Lepisosteus oculatus: one gene and its partners. The protein of the gene in region 4 interacts with the protein of the main gene of each other region in a pairwise test. Links are inferred from orthologs where the notes say so. Each region holds a gene or a part of one and is shown on either strand. Other genes may lie near its edges.

Region 1 (7,249 bases), on a different chromosome or scaffold from region 4:
ATATTTAATAATAGGTTTATGTTTGTTGTGTAAATTATGGGGAAATGTGTACAAGAAAAAGATCCAGTTTTTCTACATTAGAACCACAGATTGAACTTACACTATTAAATAAATTATAGCTCAGAAGAGCAAGCCTGCAACCTCTGTGTTAGAGAAAGCAGATTCTACTAGGACGCAGTGGGATTTAACTATGTTCCTAAAGTGCAACAGACTGTAGTGATCATAAAAAAGACATTATTCACTGGGGGGGATCTAGCATCTCTCAGCTCTGCTATGTATGTTTTGTTCCCTCACTGATGTAAAACAATTAAAAAAAAAACTATTTCTTACCAAAACAAATGAGACTGCTGTTCCCAGAGAGACAAAAAAAGACAGAATCAAGTAAAGAAAACATAATTTAAAAAGCATTAGACTCTATCTTTTACCTAAAATTACATAATAAAACAATTGCACAATGCTTTGTGTCTCAAGGTAATTGATATCCAGAAAATAACTTAGACAAAATGAAACAATTTTAGATGGACACTTGTTATTTTCATATCGGAGGAGGACATACATACTGTAATTTTGCAAGCATTTTAATATGCAAAGGTGCTCCAAGATTCCTCTGCCAAATAAAGCCCGTGTGGAATTCCAAAACTATATTTGAGAAAAATACATTTTCCATACCTATATATTCTAGATTGGCACGTTCCGAACTCAAATCAGCAAATTAAGAACATATAATGCTCTGGAGCATAGAACTTTTAAAACTCCCATATGAATAATTCATAACTAAAATTATGGATACATTTTCTATGTTTTTCTCTTTAAAGTTCCCATGAACATGTTCTCTGTGTTTGGAGAACAGTAGTACAAACTCAAGTAAATACTGTACATCTGTAGAGCTACAGTGTCCTTCTACTTTGTCTGACAGAGAGCCACCCCTGACAGATTTTACTTCCATCCCTAATTGAGCCCCAAATGTGAGGCATTCCATCCGGTAATCTAATAAACTTTGAGCAGCATATTTAACCTCGCCTTAAATGTTTATGTTAAAGCACATACAGTATGGGATTTATTAGTGGCGTATATTTTCTATTATTGAATCATATCAGAAGTGTATTGACAGGGTACAAAAAGCATGAATTTATTGTACTTGCATACAGTGCGTGCTTTATAGAGTAAAGAAAATAAAGTTTAGAAAAAAGAAACAAGCAATTAGGCATTCTGTTACCTGATGCAGAAGAAATGTTGCTCCCAACAACACATCAAATATTGAAAGACAAGTACATATTAAGACGTATGTCCTGTTGAATAAAAAGAGACAGTCAGAACACCAGTATCTCACAATACACAGGCAATCATTACTTCATGAAGAATATTCCATCTTTTACTAGCATTTAAAAATAATTGTTAATTGCATACTAAACAAAAATCTTGTTTCTTTCTTGAGAGTTCCTAATTTTTGTTTTTGGTAATTTTTTGTATTGTACTATTTTCCAAATGAAGTGAAACAAAATTAAAAAAACATCAACCCAAAACAGCACTTTCAGAAATACCTCTTGCACTTGAGAAAAATGCTTTTACCTTATCGTGAGGAAAGGTAAGTGCTCCGGTGGTGCAACAGACACTGTCAGAGTTCTCTGGCTTTCTGGAGATGAACGGACCTTATGTAAGTTCGCTGGGCAAGTAAATCGCAAGCTGACTCTGCACACATGTGGGTTGTAGAGCTGGTTTATCTCTTCATCAGTTTCTTAGCTCAGCCCCCACAATCTGTACTCAAGGCACTGCCCTACTCCCATCTGGGGAGTCCTTCACCGACCAGCTCTTTAATAGCTCTACGTCTTTCCTGCAAGCGACATTTTCCCAAGCCATCTAATAGAGCCCTGATAATTGGGGCTTAGAGAAGTTTTATTAATAGAACTGTCACTGGCACTTCCCTCTCTGTGGCTTGGGTGAGTGCGTTAGGAAATTGGTCGCAGATTCCAATTGTTACTGTGTACATCCTGTGTGCATGTGAAAGTTGTTTTTTTGGGATGGCGGACCAGCTGTTACTTAACAATCCCCCAGGGAGAGCGAAGGGTATGACTTGTATTATAACAGGTACAAGTAAACCTTCTGCTTTGTCGCTTTCCCACTACACTGCTCCCCTATTCCTGCTGATCACAATGTTGCCATCGGCTTCATAACCCTCTAGTCTTACTGTGGTAAAAGCTACTGGTTAGTAATCAGTACATGCACTCCAGTAGGACTGAAGAGTTCAACCTAGCATATGGATTAGTTTCTTTTTTGGCTTGAACAAGGAAGATCTCTCCTCTCATCTCAGTCAGCTAATCAAAAGCTTCCAATTCAGTTTCAGCTCACAGCTTAAATTTAGGATCTCAATATTTTATTAAGTGACAGTGACTGCCTTGTTTTTTATATTAAAGAACAACTGTACCTTTAATTGTCAATTTCATACTTTAATTTTTTTTGTCAAATGCACTTTAATAATTTATCATACCTCCCATTTACATAATTTATCATACCTCCCATTTCTTTTCATTAAGAAGATTTTTTAGTTCTTTCCTTTCGGTAGAAACCTGGCTACGGTGCAGCCCTTTAATTTCAGGACTTTCAGTGTAATGTTAAAAAGATGAGGTACCCCTATAAATTATGCAAGGTACTGTACAGTATATTGAATCCTGTTTTCACAAACTTACTAACAAGTGAATGTTTTTTGAACCCATTTTTAAGCATGCCGCCTGACTGCCCAGTTCTGATTTGCTTACTTTAAAGTGTCACCGGAAGAGCTGGGCTGTGTTTCATCTAATCGTCCCAAGGTCTGGGTCCCCAAGGGTAATTCCAAAATCAAGTTTTCAGACGGCTATCAAGGCTTGATTGCAGATTAGATTAGAGAAAACCAAGCCTGTAACAGACTAGAAACAGTCGATGAGCAGGGGTAGAACTGTAAAGGGGGGCAACATACTGTATAAAGATGGACATATAGTCTGATAACACCAACATTTTGGATGAAATTCAAACAAAACATTAACATAAATACTTTAAGAAAGTATTTTGTTTTCATGTAGAAATGTGTGTGTTTGATCAGATTGATAACAGATGAAAACGTTTTTTTTTTCCCTTAATGGCAAAGAAAATTATTCTTAGACAATGTATAGACTATTCCTTACCTACGCATAGAGAATGGTATCAATAAATACCCATCCATCCATTAACTAACTGCATGATCCAATACAGGGCGGCGGGGGAGCCCGAGTCTATTCCAGCATGCAACAGGCACAAGGCCGGACGTGACCAGAATGAGATGCCAATCTATCGCTGGGCACACGCAGACACAAACATGCACGTACTTACTCCGGGGCTAATTTTCCAGAAGCCGATTAACTTACCAGCGTGTCTTTGAACTGTGGAAGGAAAGCAGAGTACCTGGAAGAAACCCACGCAAATAGCACCCCAGGCATGGAATCAAACCCAGGGCTCCAGCTCTGCGAGGCACCAATGCTTACCACTTTTTAGATTTTTTTTTGTCATAGGTCAAAAAGAAACAATATTTCTGTTTATTATTGAAAACTTTAATTTTGGCCAATATCTGTTACGTATGTGTGTAATAAGTACTATGGTACCCTGTATGTTTTTTTTCTCATGAACTAACCTTCTGTAACACCTAGAAGAAGAAAGAAGAAGAAGAAGAAGAAGAAGAACAAAGAAGAAAGAAGAAGAAGAAATGAATAGTTATATTTACATAATGCTTTCCATCACAGTGGATAACGTATAGGAGGTGACCCATTTTATGCGTCACTGTGACGTCTGGCAGCTGAGTACACAGCAGTTCAGACAGAGAAGTGCGAAAGAGCTTCACCATTTGAATGAAGAATTTCAGGAGGCCAGATGGCGGAAGGCCAGAGCGGAGTTAACTGGAGTTCACACCTCCTGCTCTAATGAACAGTTCCATGGGAATCTGAAATGACCAAGCAGTCAGGACCTCGGGTTAACATGTCATCCAGAGTGGATCACCTCCTATAGCACAGCGGATTTGGCCATTAGCTAAGGACCTGTGGACCGGAAATGAAGAGCTCGTCCAGTAGCATCGCTAGCCGCAACAACCTGGTTTTCTTACAATGTCTCCCAAGTTCCAGTCCTGAGCACAAATATTTGCAAAGTCGCATTTCTATAATGTGATTGCTCGATCATCTCAGTCCACTTGATTTTGTTTAATGTTAAATTCTTTTTAATTTTCCTGATGACAGATGAAAACAGCCAAACGGGTTTTACTCCGATCCAGTTGTCACACACTGCTTTCAAAACCCTGACACAAATAAATGTACCATAACAGGAAATGGGAGGAGCTCACTGGATCAAAAAGTTTAATGTCACTGACAGATTAGTGTGGTATTCAGTTACACTGTTTTGCGAAGTAAAAAAAAATCAGAGAGAAATATTCACAAAAGAATCAGAACATGTTTTGCTACTGACATTACGTAAATGTTTAATTTAATTGCTTGTCCCTGATCAAGGATTGCTGTAATAATAATGTCAATAATAATGTTTTTTTTTATTTTTACAGTTTCAAAATGATGAGACATTTGAAGTTAGAAGCACACAAACATTATTCCGTTTTGGTCTTGTGCACCTGCTGATGATGTAAAGGTGTCACCAGACAATAAATGGACTGAATTAGATGACTATGATAATATATTGTTGTAGAACCTTAGCCTTAGTGTGAATCCCAAGGACAAATCTTGTAACAATACTCTTTGTCTAGTGCCTCTGTCAAAATGTTAACATTGCACCTGGGACCTGAACACAATTTTGATTATAGGCCACAGGATGAAGGTTTATAATCTGATAGTCATTGATAAATAGGATAATCATGATCATGGGATTTTAGGCAGGAGTTCAGTTAATTTAAAGTAGCTGATATTTTCTTCTGTAGTGTAAAATCTTAATGAAGCATACTGTATATTCACAGTAAAAAATAATTGTATACTTTTTCCCTACTCATGTGCACAGTGCCTGTACATATAAATATGCTGGAGAAAATATTTTATCATTAAATGCACTAATTTGTTTTCAAGATGTTTGAGCTGAAACATATGGTATGTATAGTTTTTAAATCATTCCACAGCCCAACGTATTGACAATATGATAGTAACTGATGCTAAGTTAAGTAACAAATTTGATATAAGACTGAAGGAGGTATCTAGTCAGTATCACTGCATGTGGAACAGATTTTGATTGGCTCCTATAATATACTGACATACAATGCAAATAATATCTGAAACAACTATAAAACTATCTGATAGCTTTCAGTGCACTGTATATGAAAACACTGTACCGTACATAGTAGCAAGAATTTATTTAGGTTGTTTCTAAGGTATGGCTGCAAATTGTGTTTATCAGCTTATCATTTGGCCACTCTAGAGAGCATGAAGGTAATTGGCAGCTCCTGACATCTGATGCATTACTAGCCCAGAAGCAGCAGCAAAAAAAAGAAATAAGATTGAATAAACGTTACTGATAGCCAACTATCACACTACACGTGTCTTCATTTTGCTTTGTGTCCTCGTATGCAGGCATGGCAATCATCAGGTACTGAAATCTATTTTCTGTGGGAGATTGGCACACAGGCCAGGGTGCAATTTAGTTTAATCAGATTAAAAAATAGCTATATTTATATACTATTATTTCATAACAGTATTGTTAGAATTCTAGAAATCCTTCCAGTTATGAAACTCAAACATAGGGGTAAGTTAAAAATATCGTTTTTCTTGGTATTAACAAAAAATTCACTACACCTGGTGTTTCTTTTCTATTCATTCTTATTTGTCTTTCAATATATATGCTCTATTGCTGTGATGATTAAAAAACAAAACTTGTATGTTTGCCTATATTCTTCTAGAGTTCAAGAACAATACATACTGTACTGTATATGCATGCGCTTTAGAAATAGTGTGTTCATAAGCAATTTAACTTATTTTGTATTTACTACACATTGTAATTGTCAAGGCATTGGAAAACGTTTTTTTTAATACTTAATTAAATAATCAAATAGAGTGTCTGCTGTATTCAGGCTCAGGCACTTACTGATTAATATCATAATTCACATAATTTGAGAGAAATTGAAATGTAGATAAAGATATAAAAATATTTTCAAACAAATATTTGGTTGAAAACAGGATGTAATTCTAGACCCTGACCATATGGCGCCATTGTTTCGTAGCTGAAAATATAGTCAAAACATTGTTTCCTGATTTCATAAGCTGATCTGTCAGAAAGACAGAATGTAGTTGAATTTAAGATAACCATACTCCATCCCCCAAAAATAATAAAGTGTGTCCATGAATGTAATGCCACTGTACTTAATACCCAGATTCACAAAGTACCAATAAATCTACTTTGCAAAAATTCATTAATTAATCCCTAAATATTTATGTTAACATTACTGTACAATGAACCATTTTTTAGCTAAAGGATTTTACATCAGTATCACAAAATAAAATTAAAATCAACAAAAAGGAAAAATCTGTGTCGTGCTGTGATGTGGTATTGACCTTTAATTGGATATGAGGCAGGTGTTTTGTGAAACCAGCAATATCTAGTAAGTCTGTGAAAAAAAAGGGGTTGCGCTTTTTCTCCAGAATTATTGCAGCTGTCATATAGCCTAATGAATGGATGTTGTTTACTGTGTGTAATGAGTTCAGTCAGTCTTCAGCAGTCCTTGTCTATTCACTTGAAACAGTCCTAAGGAAATGAGCTCAATATCATTTTTGGACAGGGAAATAAGCTCAATGGTGACAGGGAACTGAGGACCACTGTAGAGTCTGAAGAATCCATTTACAGAAATCAGTCAACACAGAACCTAAGTCAAGGGAAGGGAATCACTTTTCTCCCTGGATCTGAAGATTGCTCACTCTTTTAAATTGAAACTAGGGGGTTGGCAAATACAAAACAACATAGCTTAGTCCTTAACACATATTACCAGTTTTCTGAAATTGTAACAGAAAACCAATGATTTTTCAGATTAATTTCAGACTAATTCTAGAGTCAAAGTAGTTCAAGCAGGGAGCTGTGGCAGCATGCGTAGGCATGTAAAGTAAAGGTTGACTCCATGCTGAAAAGAGAAGAAAAGAAACAAAACATTTTGGCACGTGGAGCCTTCTTTGTGCGTGAGTTGCCAGATTTGGAGTTGCTGGCTCTAGAGCTGTCCTTCTAAAAGGAGATAGAAAAGCTGACCAGTAAACTAGCTGGTGAGATCTCTTTATAT
Region 2 (7,867 bases), on a different chromosome or scaffold from region 4:
TGAGTGTGCTTTTTAATAGTAGCAGTCGAAACAGTCGGTAGTGCTGTCTGTCTGGTAATGGCTGTACTGTAGTTACAGAATGGTCAGAGTGACTTTCATCTGCTTTTATTAACTTAATTGGCTAACGATTGTATCGGCAAAGACCAACTTCTGTTTACACACCCGAGCATTTCACTGCTGCGATCTGGGTGAAGTACTTCGCGTGTTTTTCCTTGCGATTTGATACCACAACTTTCTAGATGGGAATCCGAAACCCCACCACTACACCTCGATACCGCCTCTGGTATCTACACTTTACACCAGCGGCTACAGCTGGAATTCAGCCTGGATTCGCCTTGGGTTGTTTTTTTTTGTTAGCTGACTTCCAGACCGGACTGCCTTCCCCCCTGCACTGGGTTCGATTCAGCTTTGAACCCCATAATGGGAGTCTCGGCAAACTCAACACACCGCAGCCACAAGACAAAACGGGGTTAACCTTCAAGAGTATTACCAATCAGAAAAGCTGTCGGGGGCTGTAACTGTCGAAGAGCATTGCTCAACTGTTTTGCAGCCCTTTCCTCCTAAACGGAAAGAGCGGCGCTTTGCACCTGTTATTTTCCCTCTGAGTGTTGGGTTACTGTTGGGGAGCAGAGTCGACAGCGCCGCGCTTTATTAAGCCTCGCTTTAAATTTTCCACAAAATGAAACTGGAATGTATTGAAGATGCGGACGAGATGAATGCTGTGCAAGCTAATAATTTGAGTATACTTCGTTATAGTTCTTTTTTCCTGTTTTTGTTTTCTCTTCAGTTTTGTCAAAGGCGGATTTAAACTCGATCGCGAGTGCACTGTCCTTGACGTCCTGTTTAGTGAGTGATTAAAAGTTAAGACTGCACTTCCACATTGTGCAAATCCTGAGACTAGACAGCCCGAGACACCACTCTGAATCTTTTACCCTCGACTCCCCCCAAGATAATTCATTGTTGGAGCAAAACATATTGAACTCTACAAAACCGCTTGCTAGCATGGTCGGCAGACGTCAATTAAATACTGTTATGGTACCGTTTTCACGTTTGTCCTTCAATAAAAAAAGAGCCCTTCCTTTTTCTTCGCTCTTGAAAGGATCCGGAGTTTTCTTTCGTTGTAAGAACGTAAGCCTGGCTTCATTGCTCTCTTGCATTCGTTAAAAAAGAAGTAATGTCCCTAGTTCGTTAAAAAATTAAAAATAAAAACAATGAGGTAGGTGAAATGAAATTTAAAGTTGCAGAGACCCACTCTCCCGCCGTGAGAGCGAATGTGATCAAGTGGGCTCCTTTCGTTTTAGCAGAACCCACTCAATGGCGCCCACCACCCCCGCCCACAGTCTCACCCCCTGCATTCCCCACTTGTACATTCAAACACATTCATAAAATGTGTCCCCCCCCCCTCCCAAAAAAAAACTCCCCCTTTTCCCCCTGGGGGAGTCAGCGAGTTATACAACAGTCGTTAGAGCTTTGCTGCAGTTGCCGTTGGTGTCCGTCCCGGAGAGGGGACCCCGACATTTGGCCAGCGTCCCCTCCGGGGTGACGCTGTCCTCCGAGCTCGATCTGCCCTTTGCCTGCGGGTCGTTCTGCCAGCTGTGTCCGCTGTAAACATAACCATTGGGCGGGCCCAGCGTGGGGAAAGGCGACCGCCTCAGGCACAGGATCTCCTGGAAAGCGTGCCGGAACTCGGGGCTCCTGCAGTAGATCACGGGGTTGAAGGCCGAGTTGGCATACCCTATCCAGTTAAGAATCTTGAACGTCAGCTTGGTGTTTTGGAACTGGCCAATGGCCTCCACCACGTTGAGCACAAAGAAGGGCAGCCAGCAGAGAGTAAAGATTCCCATGATTATCCCCAGGGTCTTCAAGGCCTTGTGCTCCTTCAGGCAGAACTTGAAGGCCCTCTTTGGGGGCGCCTTCCCCCCCTTGGGCTCGCCGCTGCTCTCCTGCTGCGGGAGGCCGCTCTGGACGTAGAAGCGGCCCTCGCACCTGTCGATCTTCTTGAGCTGCTTCTTGGCCTCCTGGAACACCCTGCCGTAGACGAAGGCCATGACCACCAGGGGGATGTAGAAGGAGACGATGGAGGAGGTGACGGCGTAGGCGGTGTTGGTGTTGAAGTCGCAGCAGTGGGTGTCATTCAGGCACCTCTGGGCCTCGGGGTCTTTGGAGACCGACCACTGCATGTGGATGGGCAGGTAGGAGATGAGGCCGGCCACCAGCCACACGGCCACCACCACGATCCAGGCCCGGCACTTAGTCAGCAGCGACTGGTACCGGAAGGGGGAGGTGATGGCCAGGTAGCGGTCCAGGGCGATGACGCACAGGGTATCGATGCTGGCCGTGACGCAGAGGACGTCCGTGGCCGTCCAGAACTCGCACCAGAAGTTGCCGAAGTGCCAGGTGTTCAGGATGATGTGGCACGCCCCGAAGGGCACCACCACCAGGCCCATGACCAGGTCGGCGCAGGCCAGCGACATGATGAAGCAGTTCGTGACGGTCTGCAGCCTCTGGAACCGGGCGATGGCGGTGATGACCAGAATGTTCCCAAACACGATGCCCAGCACCAGCAGCGACAACAGCATGCCTAACGCCACCAGCGACGCCTCGCTGTGCTCAGGGCTGCTCGAGTTGGACGCGGAGCTGTTACTGAGAGGGTCCATGGTCTGAGAAACAACCACAGCAACAGCGACAGACGGGTCAATAAATGGACCGCTTAAACGGTAGAAAGACAAGGGGGGCAGCCGATAAAAAACAAAACACTTTTTTTTTTGCTTGTGCTTTTTTAACATAAAACAGGTGTTTAGTTATTAAAGGGGGGGAGAAAGTTTACTAACCTTCTCCTGCTGTGCTCTTGTCTTCTTCTTTTCTCCCACATCAATCAGCTTTATTCCTTTGCTCTTTGATGTCCGAAATCTGTTTAGACACTTCCCGAAAGAGCCCTGTCGCACTCTCCTCTGCTCATTTCTGTCCCACTCTTTCAGAGGCTGCGTTGCAGTCTGGCACATACAGTATGCAGGTTCCTGGCTGTGGATGGTGCTCGCAGGCTATTGACAGAACCTTATAGTAAGGGTGGGCGATGACATCATTTCCAGCAGCCAATGAGCAGGCGAGGAGGGCAAAGCGCTAAAGGCTGTTGTGTGAAACATCGGACTGGTCACTTTCTGTCTGTGAACCAAATCAACAGAGGAAGTATAAAGTGCTGCATATGTCAAAAAGCTCAGCTTCTTATAGCTTATCAGTCTGTTATGGTCTTGTCTCGAAGGAAGAAGTACAAATGCAAAAGAACAGATTTTACTTTCCCTCTCTGTGTCTCTCTTTCGGTTTGTGCTGGCTGTCTGACTGATTGGGGTGACTGTCTTAATTTTCTAAACCGTTGAAACTCGTGACAAAAGGCTAAGAACAACTTCTGTGCCCCCCAGAATCAAGTCTGCCCCAAGTTTCCTTGTCAATGGGACGATTAATCCTACTGAGGTCAAAGGAAAGTACTGTATACAGTATGTATGTGAAAATAAGCTTTTCATTTCGTGAACAAAAAAACATTTGAAAGTCCTAACCTGAAACTGCAGGGGCTAATAAATGGAGTGTTTGTTTTGAATCCACAGTGTGACTAAAAGTCAGTGCGACTTTTGAAAAAGCTTTTTGTCCACGAGAAAGTGGTATTTAGATAGATAGATACTTTATTGATCCCGTGAGGGAAATTGCAGGGACAATTATCTCCCGGTTCTAATTCCTGAGAGGATCGTTGTTTTTTAATGTTATTTTCCCGTTTTTCTGTTTGCTTTTGTATATTGGCTTGTTTGTTACTGCATATTTGTTGCAGGTTGTTTTGAATGTTTTTTGTATCTGATTTTAGATGTTAAATTGTGCTCAGAAAAGGGTGCTATGCAAAACTAGGGATTAATTGATTGATTGGAAGCCGTTGGCTACCCATTCTATGATTACTTTCAGAATAGCTGTTCTTTATTTTTAACCAGGCGAGTCTGCGGTGATATTTTAGGTATTGTATCCCGTATTGTATTGTACTCGTTAATCCGAACCTCTGTGAATGAGTTTTGTCTTTAAACTTGCCAGCGTGTAGACAGGCACACAGCGTTGAATGAGACCGTCTTGATCTCAAAAATCCTTCTCCCGCGCATCTTGTCTGCCCGCAAGTCAAGTGATGTATAGTTAGTATCTTAGGTGTTCGGAACTGTTTCTGAAATATTGACAGGTCTTGGAAAACCCATGTAGATATATTCGTTTCGTGTGAATTTTGCCACTGTTTTACTTTTGTTTCTGTGAACAAAATCCATCCGAACACGTCTTTCAGCTACCACTTCAGTTAAATTATTTAAAGACATTTTATTAAGCTTTTTTATCAAAACAACGCAAAGAAGTCGAATTTATTTTCCTTAGTTTGGAAGGATCTTTTTTAACGGCGTGTTTAACTTTGAAAAATTCTGTGTTGTGCAGGGAATGTATAAGCGAGTTGTGTTCATTTATGCCTGACAGCACTCATCCTTGCCATGAATATTTAAGTATAATACATTTTAAACAATTCACAGCTTTCCAGAAGCTCGGCATTTCTGAATTTAAAAAAGCGTTGGTTCCGTCACCTGGTGTAAGAGAAACCAGGCGCGGAGAAACGGAAGAAAAGCGACGATAGTGACTTTTTCAAAAAGGATAAATGGCTCGTTATTCGCACGGACCTTTTTATTTGACTAGAGGAAGATACATTTCCTAGGAAACGTATTTGAATACGTTTTTTAATCAATAGCACGAGACTGCCAAGAAAGCAGTCTTTCTTGCAAAGAGCACAAAAAAAAGATTTCTTTTTTGTGACTACTTTAATCGCCTTATTAATATTGTTGTTCGTAATATTTCAGATTTACCACACCTGAGTATAATTCCACGACAAATAATTAACAAGGTTTCATGCAGTACAGTACATTTCCTTTCAAGCAGAGCAGATGAGTTTATTGCCATATGGACATGTTAATTGTCCGTTCACCCGGGACATACAGTACAGTGCACAGTGCAGCAGACGACAGTAGACACCTCACGACGTAGACAGTACATTACAAAACGGTATATAATAATGATATATACAGTCAATAAACAACCAGTAAAAATAAAACATGTTAACAATAAATACGAGATAGTGAACAACAACGTATTGTACAGTAGTTCAGTTTTAAGTTGGCACGATCGGGTTGTATTTGAAGTCCTGCATTGTCTTCTGAGTCAGCTTTTGACTTTTGGAACCCAGAAACAAAAGGTGTGCAGTTTTTCTAGCGTACTGCATACACAAATGTCCACACTTCTTCACTATGAAATGGTGCTGTCATATTTAAAGCTCCACAAGCATGACCTTTTTTTTTTCCCTGAGAGATACACAAACATCAAAGCTTATATGTGCACCTTGCAATAAATTTGCCGAGAGCTTAAAATGGCCTCCCAGTCGAACATTAATAGTACCAGGCTGCAGCCAGGAGAGAGAGAGCTCACAGTCACGCACTATAAAAAGAGTTCTGACTGGGGACTGAAGAGCCTTCACTATTCGTGTACATCATGTGTCGGCCCAGCATCAGTCTGGCCACAGAGGAAATAGGGAGAATATACTGTAGTCCCACCTGTGTTCTTTGTACAGGTGTAGGGAATCCTGGCTGCCAGTATATCCAGGGACAGGCTTATGAGACGCTCAGGGGTTTGAAAAGAAACAGAGTTTTTTCCAGTCAAATGTCCTGTTTCCAAACTGGTCTCGTTATTTAGTCAGCTGGGGCACTTTGACCATCACGTGTGCCTCAATAACCGTCAGGAGCCAAGGCCATTGTTAAAGTCATCAAAAGCAAAAGAGCAGAGAAAAATCTTATATATTCCCAGCAAAGCAACGGTTGAATTTCAATTGAGTAAATGAGACCTGGAGTTGGAATTCTGCTGGAAAACTCTGCACTAGTGAGATTGCATCTGTCTCTCTCAGTCTCTCTGGAATGATGAATGCACTTTGCTATGCAATCAGAGTTTTTTTTTTTAATAAGGTGGCCAGTGTTCATTTTAAGCATCTAAGCTTTGTTCTTTTCATTATGGGTTCCTTTTGAAGACAGCAGATATAGAATGGCCTTTATTTCTTTTATTGTGTGAATAAGGTTACCTCTGAGGTCTCCTCATGGTTAAGAAGGTTAAGAATCAATTTATGTGCCCCAACAGAAGCACCTATCATAACTAAGTCACATTCCAGAATAAGCCCTTGTGTCCTCTCCGCTCAAAACCACAAGTCAGAAAAGCTGTTTCTCTGCGGTTTTGCAATCATTTTAAATGGTATCGCAAATCTATTTAAATGAATATTTTACCAGGAAAAAAAAAACAGTTCTTTCAGTCCTAGCTTTCTGATAAGGGACAAATCAAAGCTTGTGTTTACTTCTGTGCAATAATTATCTGTAAACTCCTCAACACTGAATTAACAGAGAGTCAGGCAGGGTGATCCCACGGAGAAAGTGCTCTCTTGTTGGAACAATTGAGAACTTGTTGCATCAATATCACTAAATCATAACCAGTTTTACTCAAGTGCTTGAAACAGTATATCATCATAGGAAAGTAAGTGCACTGCCCCCTGGTGAATGTTGAAGAAAGTCTACTCAGTCTCATTTAACTCTATAAACAACCCAAATCCATAAACACTTTATAGTCCAGGTACTGTACATTACCAACCATGTAAGCACACTTACTATTACACTGGACTAACAGCACTATCAACGTACATGTAGGTAAGAGTGTATATGTTTGATACATATAAGTACCTTGCTTATTACACTAGTATTGTTGTATTTGGTAATGTACCTGTATCATAATGTGCTTGCAGAAATTCTGTTCCATAGTCTTGTGCATCTACTGATACAGTGCAGAGTCTTGGGATCTGGAAAGCTGAATCTACACATTTACATTCAAGGTATGCTCAGCCTGAGAGCCTGTGAACCCAATGTGTCTGGCACAACTGAGGCTGGGGGCTATCTTTAGCATCAGAGGATCCCAGGACATTCTGTATAGTGCAATGAAGAAACTAATGAAAGAAATTCACCTGATTTGTGAACTTAAATACTGTGAATAGTTTTGTACTATAAATAGTAGTTATTTTTTTTTTAGTAGTTTAGTAGTTTTTTTTTAGTAGTTATTTATAGTTGTTATTTTTTAGTATTTAAATGCAAGTCCTATAACATGTCATGTAAGAGATTTAATCTTAATTCTGTCAGGTTTTAGACATTGTGGTATTATACTAAATTCATGAAAATGGCAGTGCAGTATCCCCCAAATGGGATACTATACTGTAGGCTATACATAAGATTTTAAAGGACATTCAGATAGAAACAAAATGAGCCAGGGCTACTGTAGCTGCCCTTTTCTTGCTAGACTGCTATGACAAAATAATTAACAATTTTGTAACAATTAAAACTCCCACCCCCAGGGAGATAACTGTGATTTATCACAGGGAGATAGCTGCCAGCACCCTGGAACTCGCCCTGGAGCTCACAGCTGGCAGCCCACTGAAGCTCAGCAGGTGTGAGCCTGGATGGGAGACCTCCTGGGAAAGCTAAGGTTGCTGCTGGAAGAGGTGTTAGTGGGACCAGTAGGGTCGTAAAACTGATGAAGTGGTGTAAAACTGGGGTCCTGACACTCCATGGTCATTAAAAATCCCAGGATGCTTCATGAAAAGAGAAGGGGTGTTCCCCCCTGGCCTTTACCAATCATGGCCTCCTAATAATCCCCATCTCTGAACTGGCTTCATCACTCTGTTCTCCTCCCCACTGAGAGCTGGTGTATGGGGAGTGTACTGGTGCACTATGGCTGCCGTCACATCATCCATGTGGCGGTGGTGGTGGAGGGTAGTCCTATTACC
Region 3 (7,170 bases), on a different chromosome or scaffold from region 4:
AAAATGCATTATCTCAAGCTGAAGTATTGCAAAGTTGTTATGATGAAGCTTTTAATAAGTGAAATGCAAAGCAATGAGACAGTAGCATAACAGACATGGGCTCTTGCTGAGCAGAAGTGTTTCGATATGACAGGAAAAAAGGACACTTGTGGAAAGAACTCTATAATAATTGCTTACACTTATATAGCGCTTTTCTGGACAATCCACTCAAAGCTCTTTACAGGTAATGGGTACTCCCCTCCACCACCACCAATGCGCAGCATCCACCTGGATGAGGAGACGGCAGCCATAGTGCGCCAGAACACTCACCACACACCAGCTATCAGTGGGGAGGAGAGGAGAGTAATGAAGCCAATTCATAGATGGGGATTATTAGGAGGCCATGATTGGTAAGGGCCAATGGGAAATTTGGCCAAGACGCCGGGGTTACACCCCTACTCTTTTCAAGAAACACCCTGGGATTTTTAATGACCACAGAGAGTCAGGACCTCAGTTTTACGTCTCATTCGAAGGATGGTGCCTGTTTATAGTATAGTGTCCCCGTCACTATACTGGGGCATTAGGACCCACACAGACCACAGGGTGAGCGCCCCCCTGTTGGCCCCACTAACACCTCTTCCAGCAGCAACCTTAGTTCTTCCCAGGAGGTCTCCCATCCAGGTACTGACCAGGCTCACACCTGCTTAGCTTCAGTGGGTTTCCAGTTGTGAGTTGCAGAGTGATATGGCTGTTGGCAACACTAGATAGATTATTTAAAAAAAAACTTGGGAAGGATAGAGCATGAGACTTTATTTAATAGTACTACTGTATGTGGTACTGTAGAACACATTTATGAAAGTTAAGCAAATACAGGTAAATCAGGTACATTTTCTAACCACTTCTTCCAATTCAGGGTCACAGGGAACCCTGAGACAATCCTGGCAAGCAGCAGGCGTAATGTGGGGTACACACTGGAAATTAAATATATTCCCAAAAGCCAATTTACGTTGTTAGAGTAAAAAGAAACCCACGCAAACATTATAAAATCCACACAATAGCACCTCAAATCTGGAAAGGAATCCTTGGCCCCAGCCCTGCGATGCAACAATGTTCACTACTGCGCCATGGTATAATCCTACATGTAAAACTCCTCTGATTCACTATTACATGCCAAAAGACCTTTCATGAAACGTTCAGCTGATTTTCTACTGCACATGAAACTGACAAGATTGTAAAGCAATCTTAATAATACATTGGTATACTGTATTGTATACTTACAGTACATGTAAAACACCACTTCAGGTATGTCACATCCTATAAAACCTAAAAGTACCAATATACTGTAACAATGTTTATCTTTGGTATGTTTACCTCTTTGGTATGGACCCTTTAAAATGAAATGCAGACAGCAAATGTTAGTCAGCATGAAACAAAATGTTGCAATGTCATCCTTATAATATATTGTACTTTACATAATGCTCACAAACTCTGATTTCAACCGCTGCTTCTATACAAAAAATGATAACGTTTGTTCCTACAAAAAAAACAGCCACCTTCCCGTTCACAGCTAGCAGAGTTTCTAAACTACCCAAGGAGAGCAGGAATTTTATAGAAGAGGAGTGTTTAGTAGTGACACATTTAGTTAAACCGGTCTGAAGTGATGGAAAGTAATGGATAATTCATAGTTTTGCAAATTCAAGGACCAAGCGTCGCATCACCTCAAAGCATCAGCTGAAGTCCAGATTTCTGAAAACAAGTCTTTATGTTAAAAATATAATGATGATACTTATAGTTTTTTAGCACAGTAGGTGCTCAAACATTCCAACCAGTAAAAAGAAGAACAGCGCACTTACGTGACAGAACAGTAATAAGAGAAGGAAGCTAAAAAAAAGGCAGTGTAGAATCATGAAAAATGGCAACATGAATGCAGGCCTGGCCACGATAAGCCGGTTTCCAGACTATTGTAAGGTTCCACACCGAGTATTACCCGTATATCCGAGGAGGAAGTAGTTAGAAGGACATTGCCAATTAAGTAGCACTTGAAACAGGATAAATGGAGAATAATAGAGTCTCTGAAACAGTCTTAAATAAATGGGCGTGCCCCTAAGATAGCCAGGTATTCTTGCTCTGTATGTGGGCGAATAACCTGGGGTGTTAACTGCCTGCAGGTTCAAAAGCAATGGATGTCTAATGTCTAAGTAATTTGCTATGGTCTTTAAATAAAAGAAATCCCTCCAGTATTTGGCAACAGAGCACAGCTTCCCCGTAGCCTTTTCATTAGGTACTAACTTCAAATATTGCAGCTTCCAGCAGCCATGCAACACCATCGGCTTTAAACAAAAATCATCTGTCTCTGTATTTTTTTTATTTTAAAGCCTCCTGGGAACGATGAAGCTGTCAATTCCGCCCTAGAAGGCACATAGAGTTCCCGTACTCCATCATTTAATCAAATACCGACAGTTTGTAGGCTTTCTTTTTGCAGCTGGCAGCCAATGAGTCATTCTGGAGTAGTTTCATTGCATCATTACATACTCCCTCCAACAGCCTGTGTTTTAGAGTAAGACCACAAATTACAGCCTAGGCCAGATATGCGAAATATCCTACAGCAGGGAGGACCTGTCGTGTCAATTCCGCTTCTCGGTTAATATTCGGCCAATTCTGCAACTTACAAGCCCCCGGTCTGACTCAAGGGCCCGGTCTGCACCCGCCTCCCCTTTCACTTCTGGTAAGAACTGCAGCAGGAGCAGCGCATGCAAGCAGGCGAGCTAAATTTAATTACACCTACCTTCTCACTTCGCTTTCTCCCCACAGCACTCCCATGCACGACAAACCCAAGAAGAGGGGCTCCGGGGCTCAACATTCACGAAAATCCAAGGTATCCAAGGCGGATGCGTCAAATGGAGAACTCAGCTGTCAGCCGCGAAAATACACGGTCTTTCTTCCTAGATGCCGGATTTCTAGGTCCTGTCAATGGCATGACTGGGGCGGGGACTTGTCGGCACAACAACCCGACTGCGGGCAGGAAATATGCGTGACGTCATCACGCCAAAGCTAGAGTGTGGCGCGTCAGCAAAGCCAGTGGGAGCTGCGATCGTTTAAGCCTGTCTGGCGGCTGCCTGCTGGGGGTTTGTTGCAATGCGACCTGATTACCCTTCTTTCTAAAGTACAACTTTTAAAGTTTTAACAATAAAAAAATCTTTCGAATCCTAGGGATCCACATTGTAGTACCTCTGTAGACGGTGGCTTTCTGAATTGAAAATGAATACACTGTTTCTATAAAATGCTGCTGGAAATGCAATATGCTGTATACACTCATCACTGGAAATGGAAAATCACTCGAAAACTTGAAATATAAGCGATACATCAGTATTAATATGAATAAAGTATCTCCATCAAGATCGAATTCCGTGAGTTGTACAATTCCAAAAAGTATTCGGGCAGCATTTTTTTCCTACTGCTATAATAATAATATCATCATTATTATAAGTACATCGTCCACCCGTCCATTTTCTAACTGTTTCTTCCAATTCAGGATCACGGAGGAGCCGAAGTCTAAACTAGTGAGCAAGGGATGCAAGGCAGTTTACAAGGATACCTGTGCATCCCAGAGGAGACACAAACACACACTTACTCAAACCTGGGCTTAATTATACCCCAAAGCCAGTTAGCCTACCAGTATGTCTTTGGACTGTGGGAGGAACAGGAACATCTGGAAAAAGCCCACGCAAACACAGGGAGGGGGCATACAAACTCCACACAGATAGCACCCTAGGTCCAGAACTGAACCTAGGGCCCCAGTTCTGTGAGGCAGCAATGTTAATCACTGCACCACTGTGTTGCCTGCGTAAATATCTGTGTAAACGAAAACTTTACAATAACTGTACATGATTTTGAGATTTTGTGTTTAGTGTAGAAAGTGTTCAGTATAAAGCCACACATACACAATTTGAATTAATGTGGGGTGAAGTTATTATACAATTGATTCAGTATAAGGCACATTTGTATGAATTACCTACTAGATTTATTTAAATGTTTATGTATCAAATTGGTAGGCTTCCCACATAAGTGGTTTCTAATTGGTCTGGCTGGTTGGAGGAATTGGTCTTTCCACTGCTTTGTTATGCAACTGAAAAGGTTAAATTGTTTAATTGGGAATACTGTACTTAAGTACAAAACTGATGACACATGCCCTGCAATGGACTGGCTTCCTGTCTAGGGTGTATCCTGCCTTGTGTCATTGCTTTCCAAGATTTTGAGTTGCTCCAACACCCCTGCAACCCTGAATTTGAAGAAGCAGTTAGAAAGTGTTTGGATATCATGACAACAGTCCCATGGCAGAACGCAGGCATTGTTTATTTATTCAAAGTTTTAAGTAGTATACCTCCCAACCTTATGTTACATATGAAACTAGAGTTAAAATGGGCATATAACAGTAATTTGGATAAATAGCTATAATTGATACCATGTCCGTTCTGATGAATTTAGATGAAAAAATAAATTCTCTGTATTCTGTGTGTCAATAAATCTATCCATTCATCTTCTCACAACTTCTTCAAATCCAGGGTCATGGGGGAGCCATATCCTATCCTAGCAAGAAATGGGTACATGGCAGGGTATACCATGGATGGGAAGCCAGTCTATCATAGTGCAGACACACAGACACCAGTCCATGATAGGGAACACACAAAATGTCATTATATAGGTGCCTTAAATATGTACATTGAGATAAATGTGTTAAGTTCAAGTGTGCACGAATACTCATTTGTGTATATACCAATGGACAACAAAAAAAACAAAAGTCTGCACCTTATGTCTATAGCTCATTAGGTAAATACTGTACATTATTTCACTTTCATTTGAAACAGTGAGAGGATTGATTTGTTGGCTCTCTAATATTACCCCTTGAGAAAAAGTTCAGGTCAATTTGATTTTATAAATACCAGCTGCTCAGTGTTTGTCATTTTAGTTGAATTATTCATAATTGCCAGAATGGGTTGGTTAAGAACCCAGATACATATGCATTCAAAAAATAAAATTGTAAATTAAGGAAAGAGCAAAAACAGATACAAGCATGCCCTGTCCAAGTGATTGTGGGTTGATCTCTCCATGATTAAGGGCCAACCTGCTTAGAAAATGGGATGGTCTGCTTCAACTATCAGCAGACCCATTAGCAGGAAACAGGAAACTAGGTCTCAGTTGCACAAGATTAATACTCCAGCTCAAAACTAACACATCTGATTTATCTGCATAATCAGAGTTTGGTTTCTTTAGGGGACCCTGTACTTTTCTGAGGTTCTGAAATCTAATTTTAAGATCCCCCGCTCTATTAGGTATTTTTGGCTTTCGATAAATAATACAAGACTTAAATTAATAGGGATTATTTCTGATCCAATTACAGTTACTAATTACAAGTAAATATGGTCTAGTGAGGAGCTGCATCTTTATACCTCTACTTGATTTTAGGGAAATACAGTATATATGTAGCTAGTGCTGGCAACATGTAACTATACCACTTTGGTTAATAATCTCAGTCTGTTTAAGGACGTTCAAACCAATTAAACCAATTCTATGACAAGCATAAAGATATCAAACCAGGGCAATTTAAACATACATTTTATTTTGCCTTTTTCTAAACATTCATAGATTTTGAAAGTCCTCCATAATAAAAACATATAAAATATCTTTTAAAAGGCCATTGATCTTCATCTTTAAAAAAATACCCAAAAGCATCACTCACAGTTTTACGTAGCATGACAACACAATAACAATAATATACATGTCAAGTACTTTTGGTAAACAATAACAAACCACTTTGATTTTAGCAAGCCTGGAAAAATAATTTACCTTTTTATAAATTCATAAATAATCTAAAACACATGATACTAAGACATCTTTGTTAAAAGATTTAGCAGACTGGAATACATATCTGGGGCTCAATGCAGACTTGTGTTTTACAGTGACAATACTGCCTGTGCCAAATAAACTATAGCAAAGGCTGTTGTCAAATGAGAAGACATGTTTCATACCTCCTCACCACGGTCTCTGCAGCACATATATTCTGGATATAAATAAAGCTACATTAAAATACATACAGAAAAAGATCAATAGATCATGCAATCTGATGTTTCTTCACTTAATTTGGTATAATTATTGCATATATGAATCTTCTGACGATACACATCTCTCTGTGTATCGACTGAAAACAGTAAGCACTTACTTTCATTCTAGACCAAGTCAGGCCTTCTCTTGCTACAGTGGTTTGAAATTAAGGCTGGGGGTGTTCAACCTGACTCTTTTAGTTGTAGTGGAGGAGAGTGTTAAAGAATGTTACAGCATGGGAGTCACAGCATGGCTAAGCCTCTATCGTACAGAAGCTCCGCTTTATAGAGCACCATGTGCTTAAGGGTGGACCACTGCTTTTGATGTTTAAATCCTCAAGAAAACATGCCCACACTTGCTCCCATTATTGTACCAAAAAGCAGACTGATGTACGGCTACATATTGATTGGAACCTGTGAAAGTTTATGCCACTGAGAGCAGAGGATATAGGCGTTATACTGTATGTTATGAGATAGCTTTGCTTTTAATTTAGGATGTAATTTCTATTCTGAAATACATTAAATCCTTCCCCAAATTCATTCCCCTAAAATGTAGATCATCTGCATAAAACCAGAAACATTTGGCCCTCTTACATTAAATATTGCACAGTATTAATAAAATGTCAATCTAGGAACTACAAGTAAACATCACATTTTCTTTTCCTTATCACTCCTATGGCAACAGGAGTACATAAGGTTAAGGCACAAAGTAAATTAAAAACTGCATAGTGTTGCTACATTGAAGTGTCAATGTACTAGTTATTGCATTGGCTGGATCAAACCTTGTAAGTCCTGTATCAATTATAGTGCTGGAAGATAGAGAAAAAGCCTGATCCTAGAAAACTTCAATGATAGTCTGTTGTGTTTCAGTTTTATGTAATATATAAATACATGTAAATATCTATAAACATATGAACATACATATAAACACCCAAGACCGCAAACGTTCTTCTTCATTATCTTCCCTCCAATAATTTCCAGTTTGTTGAAGAATATTACTCCACTGTGACTGATTTGGCAAGATTCCGTGGACAGTCAACCTAAAATTTAAAGAGAAATAATGTTAAACATTGTTTCAATAACATTTCAAAGA
Region 4 (7,855 bases):
AGTTATGACTTTACTTAAACAGAACATTTCCAGCTCTACAGCACAAAGTGTTTCTCATTAAAACACTAATAAAATGAATGCATTGTTAGGAGGTAAATTTAAGAAACGTACTAACAATCCTGATTAAAACAAGGAAACGCACATACACAGCGGACATATTGCTGCAGTTCTTAACATTATCAACACGCACAGAATATGATAAGGAACCAGCACATGATACAAATGCAAAAGATAATGTACTTTAGTCCCACTCTTAACATGGACAAAATCTGAACAAGACTGTGCACTAGGCAACATGGGTGTATCTGACAAAGATCAAAATCAGTATTTTTAACACTATTGCCTCAAGCCTATAAAAATTGGTTTTAGTCTTTTAAATCTCATTTAGAAACCCATTTGCTGTCCTAATTTTAAAGGAAGACTGTTCCAGATTCTAGGGGCTCTGATAGAGAAAGCCCAATCTCCCTTTGTAATGTAGTTAATTGACAACCTCAGGACCAGGACTGGACACCCTGCAGACACACTGACCACCCAGGACCAGGACTGGACACCTGCAGACACACTGACCCCCAGGACCAGGACTGGACACCCTGCAGACACACTGACCCCCAGGACCAGGACTGGACACCCTGCAGACACACTGACCCCCCAAGACCAGGACTGGACACACTGACCCCTCAGGACCAGGACTAGACACCTGCAGACACAATGACCCCCCAAGACCAGGACTGGACACCCTGCAGACACACTGACCCCCCAAGACCAGGACTGGACACACTGACCTCCCAGGACCAGGACTGGACACCCTGCAGACACACTGACCCCCAGGACCAGGACTGGACACCCTGCAGACACACTGACCCCCCAAGACCAGGACTGGACACACTGACCCCTCAGGACCAGGACTAGACACCTGCAGACACAATGACCCCCCAAGACCAGGACTGGACACCCTGCAGACACACTGACCCCCCAAGACCAGGACTGGACACACTGACCTCCCAGGACCAGGACTGGACACCCTGCAGACACAATGACCCCCCAAGACCAGGACTGGACACCCTGCAGACACACTGACCCTCCAGGACCAGGACTGGACACCTTCAGACACACTGACCCTCCAGGACCAGGACTGGACACCCTGCAGACACAATGACCCCCCAAGACCAGGACTGGACACCCTGCAGACACACTGACCCTCCAGGACCAGGACTGGACACCCTGCAGACACACTGACCCTCCAGGACCAGGACTGGACACCCTGCAGACACACTGACCCTCCAGGACCAGGACTGGACACCCTGCAGACACACTGACCCCCCCAGACCAGTACTGGGGAAGCTCTGATAGCACTTTCCTCATCACAGCCCCCAGCATCTACTCTGCCTCCTACTTCACAGGTGGATCTTTCCCTCCTCCGCAAACTTGATTTGGAATTCAAATCAGCAGCCAGGTGAGCCGGGCCTGGAAAACCACAGACACCCCCCCATATACACACCCACGGCCCTCTCCCCCGAGCCCTTCCTGGGAAAGATGAGGAACATCCCCTGCTCTCCGGCCCGGAGCACCGAGGCTGTGCCCAAACCTCCCGGACCGGATCCACAGCCTCTTCACGCACGAGGAAGAGCAGAGACCCCAGCGATCTCATCCCCCACCCGGGGCCGACTGTGCCCCTATCTCACGGGTCCTCCTGAGCGGTCCTCACAGCTGGACCGCTGGTAACCCGAAGAACAGCAGACCTTTCCACAGACCCTCACGGACGCGCCTGGAGAGAAAGAGGCCACCTCTCTCTACCCTCCTTTCCACCCCCGTCACGGACACGCAAGAACACTAGAGGGAAATGCAGAAGAGAATCCAATTTTCTCTGATGAGGTGAATACTGCGGATGCGGGGGAGAGACAGATACACACGGTCCCCATCTCTCTCGGGCGGCACGTCAGGACGCCAGGCAGCCCCGGGCGCAGCGCAGACTGCTGGAGCTGCCGGGTTTTTATAGTTGGTTCCTCTCTTGCGAGACACGGACCCGGAGCGATTTCCGTCGTAGAGAGGAAAACAAAACCCCTAAACAGAACCGCCCCTTGCCGAGGGATGTGCAGCTGCATGCGCCTGTTTATAAAGACGCACACTCCCGCATACATGTCCGTGTGCGTGGGTATCGAAATGTAAACTACACGTCAAACACCACGTCACGACATCGCAAGGAGATCACAAGGAGACGGGCACAGCGCGGCCACCAGCACCGGGAACCCAACCTTTCACATTTCCACCCCACGTAGCCGATACTCTATCTTCCCAGGCGCTGGAGGAACACGGACGAAGGCGTTTGCTTGAGGTCACGCCAGCCAGTCTCGCCACAGACACGCAGGTGACACACAAAAAAAAACACGCAGCTCCTCACCTAGAGAGCCACGACCCCAACGGCAGCAGGACGGAGGCGCTGTGAGGGACACAGTCCAGAGGAGACACGGGCGGGCAGCGACATTATTAATGTTATTATTAAGGATTCCGCGCCACACCAGCCACCCACGGCTACCGTGTCGTGTTCACGTCTCTTCCGCAGCGCGCTAGCGAACAGGAATCTCAGCGGCTCATTTTCACTCCCTTTCTCGAGGGTGTGCGCGCGCGGGGGGGTTGCCTTCTTTCGCTTGAACGTCCACGGCAGTACCACCGCGAAGCGCACCGTCGCACCCGCCCTGGCGATTTAAACTCCCCTCCAGCTCCGCTCCACGGCGGCGGCTCGGCGCACGAAGCGCTGCGGGGGTAGGAAATGTCTCCCTTACCTGGTTCCCGCCTTGTCCCCCATCGCCGACCGGCTGAGTATTTTTATTCTTGATTATTTTAAGAATGCGCCCTCCTCCTTCGCTGCCGTTGTCGCTCGCAGACTTACACACTCGCTCGCTCGGGTTGTTCCCCTCCTCCCCTCTCTCTCTCTTTCTCTCGTTTCCGCAGCCAGCAGACGGAAGAACGGCTCGACAACCTGACAGCCGCCCTGGCCCCGCCCGCCGTCACTGACGGACAGCCGCGTTAGCCAACCGCTCGCCTGGAACGACAGCGCCGCCGACCAATCGGAGCCTTCCGGTGGGAGAGCTGTTCGCTCGCCTAAGGAAAGCAAAGGTTCCCGCCTCGACTCCCGTGACATCATCGCCCTACAAAACTGTATTATTATTTACTCTTCTCGCAACAGCCAGTCAAAATTTACCGTTCGGGAAGAGAGGCGGTACTGCCTCTTGATGGACAGCAGCAGCACCCAATTACAGCGCACGAATTTGTTTACGCACTTCGGAATACGATCTTAGTGTCTTTGGATAGATGTTTTTAACCCGAGGTGCAGAAATTAATGCATCGAAAATGGTTTGTTGGATAGAGTTGGTGTGACTGTAGGTACCCGTGAGGGAGCGAACGGATGGGTGCCTAAAGTTGGCTGAATTTTCAGTGCCTAAATAAAAAATGCTCCCCCGGTTCTGGGGGTTAATGAAGCCTTCAGTATTTAGGGGTTTCCGTAGCACGCTCGCAGTCTGTTACACGTTAATTTTATGTAAATATATATTTTTTTAATTAAACGTTAGACTGTTCTCTGCCTCCTCTGATATTTCCGGAGGTGAAACTTCTATTTAGGGCTACCGCGGCGAGTGCGCACGCATTGCACTAATGAACAGGAGGACAGAGTACACAAGACTGATGTGATACAGCCGTCAGCCCGAAACGATTTCTCACATGTGCAGATTATGATAAGAGTCTTCAACCCAGGTACTGAAGAGACCCGGTCCAGTCAGTACAGGAGTCTCCAGCCCCGGTCCGGTCAGTACGGGGTCTCCAGCAGAGACACATCCAGCCCTGCTCCCATAGAGACTTTGTCCATGTCTCTGTCTCCAACAAAACAGGATCGTTGTTTTTAATAATTGTGATAAAACCCACTGGCAGGACCCACTAATACAACGCTTTGTGAGTTGTAATATTACTGTGTCTCTCCTGTTCTGGCTTTCAGTTGATTATGTGAATCACCTGTAATGGCTACATTAACACAGATTTCACTGTATTCAGCATAACTGCACTACTTGTGTATATTGCATGCACCATGGACACATAGCAGCTCTACTCATTGAGTTTCAATTTCTATTACATCTATTATGTAACCTTATTTTCATAACCTCATTTTTGTGATTTTTGTGAGCTCACAGAAAAAATAAATCATTGCCAGCAACTACTGCTGCACGCTGTAGTGTTGTGCATTTGATAAATAAACTTTGATTTGATTTGATTGGATGGTCAGAGCTCTATGTGGCTTGTCTCCCCGGTCGATGTGTTGTCTGTCGGCTCCCCTCCATGGGACCTCTGCTCAGCTGATTCTGGTTACTGTGTCTCCCCTGTGTTTCATCAGCACTCTGGGGGTGACAGGGTCTGGTGTCGCTGCCCCCAGAAGACATCAGGGCTTCAGCGGCAATGGGTGCTTTCACTCTTCTTTATGTGATTCTCTGCACTCTAATGTGCTTTGTTGTTTTTCATTGGATTTGAGCGGTGATGAGCAGTACGGACTTTGAAATGAGCAGATGAGACGGGCAGTTCCCCAGTCGAACTCTCAATTCAATTCCATTTATTGTTCTCTAGCGCCTTTCACAACAAGGTTGCTGGAGGAACTCCCCAGTGTCCTTGTGCAAGAACATGAGACGGGTGGCAAATGAGAGGCAACCATCCGGCCCTTTTGTTTGTTATCTGGTGATTGATCCCAGGATCTCATCCTGGCGTTTCTGAGTGGAAGTCAAAGTATCCGTTTACAAAATATGGCTTGTTCCACACTCCCACCGCCCTTGGTGGACAGACGTGCCTCCTGGTCTTAGTTTTAAATGCACCTCCAGTGCGTATACAGCCTCCCCATGGGACAGATGGCTGCTGAGGACTTCTGTGCTCAATGCTGTGCTGTGCAGTGAAATTCCAGGAACGTTTCTGGCCTCCTTCCAGCTCACTTAAACTCCCACACATCCAGCTTATCACTTCTCTTCAGTGCAGCCTAATATCACAGCTGGTGACTCTGCCCTGTAACAAACTCCATGTACAGTTCCCACATTCTCCTGACAGATCCATCCATTTTTGAATCTGCCTTATCCAGTCTAGGGTCACGGGGAAGCTGAAGCTTAACACAGTAAGCAATGGGTACAAGGCAGGGTACACCCTGGATGGGACGCCAGTCCACCACAGGACACACACATTCCCACCAGGGGCATTTTTCCCATATGCCACTTAATCTACCAGCAAATCCTCCGGAGCGCTGGAAGGGACTTTGGGAAATCCCTGTTCCTTGAGCTCCTGCTCCGCAGTTTCAGAGCCGGGACAGGGAAATGGCATGGCCAAAAGCAAGTGGTAGGGCTTGGAGGGACTCTTTCATTGTGTAAATCCATCCACTTGCCCTGATTGATAACAGACAATCACCTGAGTGAGGAAGTTTTTATGTCATGTGAGTCTGATTATCTGTTAGAAAGTTTACTACTGTGAGATGTGTTTGTGAAAGGTTATTTTGATAAAAACCTCCGGAGCACCTGGAGGAAACCCATGCGAACACGAGGAGAACATACAAACTCCACGCAGACAGCACCCTAGGAAATGAAGGCAGGGCCCCAGCATTGCAAGGGAGCACTACTCACAACTGAGCCACTGTGCCGCTATCTATTGGCTGATGATCTGGATGAAAGGTGCTTGTAGCGACCCCTAGTGGCTACACTGTCACTGTCATCACACTCCTCAGCGCTCTGGCCCAGGGTGGCCTTGGCCAGGTTTGCAACAGGCTCACACACACAAAATAAGACGAGTGTCCAGCGTTATACTTTGCTAGCAGTCTGTCTAGGAATGCACACTGGAGAGCATATTAGCAAACAAAAAGACAACATGCGTTCGTTAATTACCTAATTAGCTACTGACCTTTTTTAATGATGAAGAGAAGTGAAGAGAAGCCTGAAGGAGATATAGAGGACTGGGCTGACAGAAAGCTGTCCCACCGACTCGGTGATACATTGCTCATTGTATTACAATTGCACTGCACTGATTCCTGGACAGCGAAACTGGACACAGACAGACATCGCTGTCCAGAGAGGACAGGCTCAGGGACCACAGACTGGACAGAGAAACTGGACACAGGCAAACTGGGCTGTCCAGAAAGGAAAGCTCAATGATCACAGATGGGACAGAAACTGGACACAATGTGAGGACAGGCTGTGCTCCTACTGCCAGCAGGGAGATACACTTTCTACTGCACTATGAGTAACACTCAAGAATTAGACATTCTTCCCTTAAATAAATATAATCCCAGAATTCCCACAGCTGCTAGAATCAGGTCGCTTTCCTATCCCACTGTGACATTGATGAAGACTGTAGTCAGTGTTGGAGACTGTAATGTCTTCTGAGATTTACTGGGGTCTTAAACCCAGTTCCTGGAGGATCTAGTTCTATCTAAATTTGTCCTAATTATTTAATTAAGTGTTGAAATAAAAGAGTTCCAACTTGACTGCGAGCTGTTTTATAGTTAACTGCTCCTTTAGCAAAGTGATGGGGTTCATATGACCTCTGAAGGTCTGGTCTGTCGTATGTCCTCTGGAGTCAAGGAGAAGTGGCTGGGAGTCTGTTCCTCTTCCTCACCCCCCGGACAGACAGTGGACAAGATCGAAGTCACGGATCACAGTGTTACCTGCTGGGAATGGGGTCACTGGGAAGGAAGGAGGATCAGATTTGCATTTCTTTTCCCAAATTTCTTCTTCCTACCAGCCTTTTCTGAGGACGTCTGCCTTGGTGAGCGAACTGCTACAGAACAAGCCAAACAACTCAGCAGGGTAAGAAGAAAAACAGGTTTTAATCATTGGCTTCACATCAACAAGGCTTCTGAAAAAAAAGCATTTTGTTCTTACAAAAATTCTATAAAACAACGTGTTACAAAATTGTGCTGCTTGTTACAATACTGGAATACAGCTGCTGTGTAGTGTTTTTTTATTTTTTTTGGGGGGGGGGGGTCGACCACTGCGAGGTCCAATCAGAGGGTACCCTCCTCACACGCGGGGCTCAAAGACTGACTCGCACACCAGTGCAAACGGGCCAACGGCTGGGCCCGAAAAGGGCAGAGTCTTTGCAAACTCCTGTCCGCTGAGGCTCCTTCACAGTAACATGCACCCAGGTCCCCTCTCCCTGTCTGTGCCCCGTCTGAACCACACAGGAAAAGCAATCGATAAGAGGAGATCCTGTGCCGAGGTAGAAGGAAGCTGTGTAAGCTCGAGTCTCTGAGCCCCGCAGTGCAGCACAGGAAGAGCCTGCACCTCCGCACACACGGTCACGGTTCGCTGCCCCGGTCCTGTAGGAACCCCAAATCTTCTGGTCTGCTCTCCATTCGAGATCTTCATCACTGGCTCTGACTGGGGTAGGATTGTAGATTTGCTCTTAGCTCTTACGAGGCCAGATAGGATTTGAAATCTGTATTCTGCACTGTTTTCAGAACTGCCCTCATTGAGCTGTGTTTGCTGAACATGTATATGATTTGAGCTGCAGAAGAAAGGCTCATTGTGGGTATGTCTGATAAAGAACAACTCCCACTGTGGTTGTTTCTGATATACGCACACCCACTGTGGGTGTGTCTGATATGCTCACAGTAAATCAGACACCTGTGAACAAACTGAAGGAACACGTAAAAGAAAAGTCTAGAGGCTCAAGCAGATGAGTGAAGGCAGCAGTGCTGGAGGAGCAGAGCTCAGCTGGAGTGAAGACCAGCAGGCGGTGCTCCTTCAGGGCCGGAGGCAGGGAACTGCTGCTGTTAAGGAGGTAACTGCACCGTGTGGCAGAGACAGCAGACAACTCTCACACGTCAAGTAAGAGGGCTTCCCAG

The links.
Region 1: the proteins of arrb2a (region 4) and type-1 angiotensin II receptor interact in a two-hybrid assay, tested with the Homo sapiens proteins (2 studies listed by BioGRID and IntAct, with this or other methods). The link is inferred for Lepisosteus oculatus from reciprocal best matches to the Homo sapiens genes ARRB2 and AGTR1.
Region 2: the proteins of arrb2a (region 4) and adrb2a interact in binary tests that used the Homo sapiens proteins (3 or more experiments, as listed by UniProt). The link is inferred for Lepisosteus oculatus from reciprocal best matches to the Homo sapiens genes ARRB2 and ADRB2.
Region 3: the proteins of arrb2a (region 4) and mapk9 interact in binary tests that used the Homo sapiens proteins (3 or more experiments, as listed by UniProt). The two-hybrid records come from large-scale screens. The link is inferred for Lepisosteus oculatus from reciprocal best matches to the Homo sapiens genes ARRB2 and MAPK9.

The regions. Positions count from the first base shown.
Region 1 is NC_090708.1:14,881,453-14,888,701, forward strand, and holds the start of type-1 angiotensin II receptor, read right to left. Parts: upstream 3,005-7,249; 5' UTR 2,754-3,004; intron 2,076-2,753; exon of another isoform or gene 1,634-2,075; 5' UTR 1,570-1,633; intron 1,290-1,569; 5' UTR 1,217-1,289; intron 348-1,216; exon of another isoform or gene 331-347; intron 1-330. UniProt on the Homo sapiens protein: Receptor for angiotensin II, a vasoconstricting peptide, which acts as a key regulator of blood pressure and sodium retention by the kidney.
Region 2 is NC_090706.1:28,678,970-28,686,836, reverse strand, and holds the start of adrb2a (adrenoceptor beta 2, surface a), read right to left. Parts: upstream 3,018-7,867; 5' UTR 3,003-3,017; coding exon 2,832-3,002; intron 2,661-2,831; coding exon 1,449-2,660; 3' UTR 1-1,448. UniProt on the Homo sapiens protein: Beta-adrenergic receptors mediate the catecholamine-induced activation of adenylate cyclase through the action of G proteins. The beta-2-adrenergic receptor binds epinephrine with an approximately 30-fold greater affinity than it does norepinephrine.
Region 3 is NC_090706.1:23,084,276-23,091,445, forward strand, and holds the start of mapk9 (mitogen-activated protein kinase 9), read right to left. Parts: upstream 3,007-7,170; 5' UTR 2,765-3,006; intron 1-2,764. Other genes in the region: gfpt2 (glutamine--fructose-6-phosphate aminotransferase [isomerizing] 2), read right to left, coding at 7,073-7,117. UniProt on the Homo sapiens protein: Serine/threonine-protein kinase involved in various processes such as cell proliferation, differentiation, migration, transformation and programmed cell death.
Region 4 is NC_090698.1:12,348,705-12,356,559, forward strand, and holds the start of arrb2a (arrestin, beta 2a), read right to left. Parts: upstream 3,003-7,855; 5' UTR 2,804-3,002; coding exon 2,781-2,803; intron 2,761-2,780; exon of another isoform or gene 2,102-2,760; intron 1-2,101. UniProt on the Homo sapiens protein: Functions in regulating agonist-mediated G-protein coupled receptor (GPCR) signaling by mediating both receptor desensitization and resensitization processes.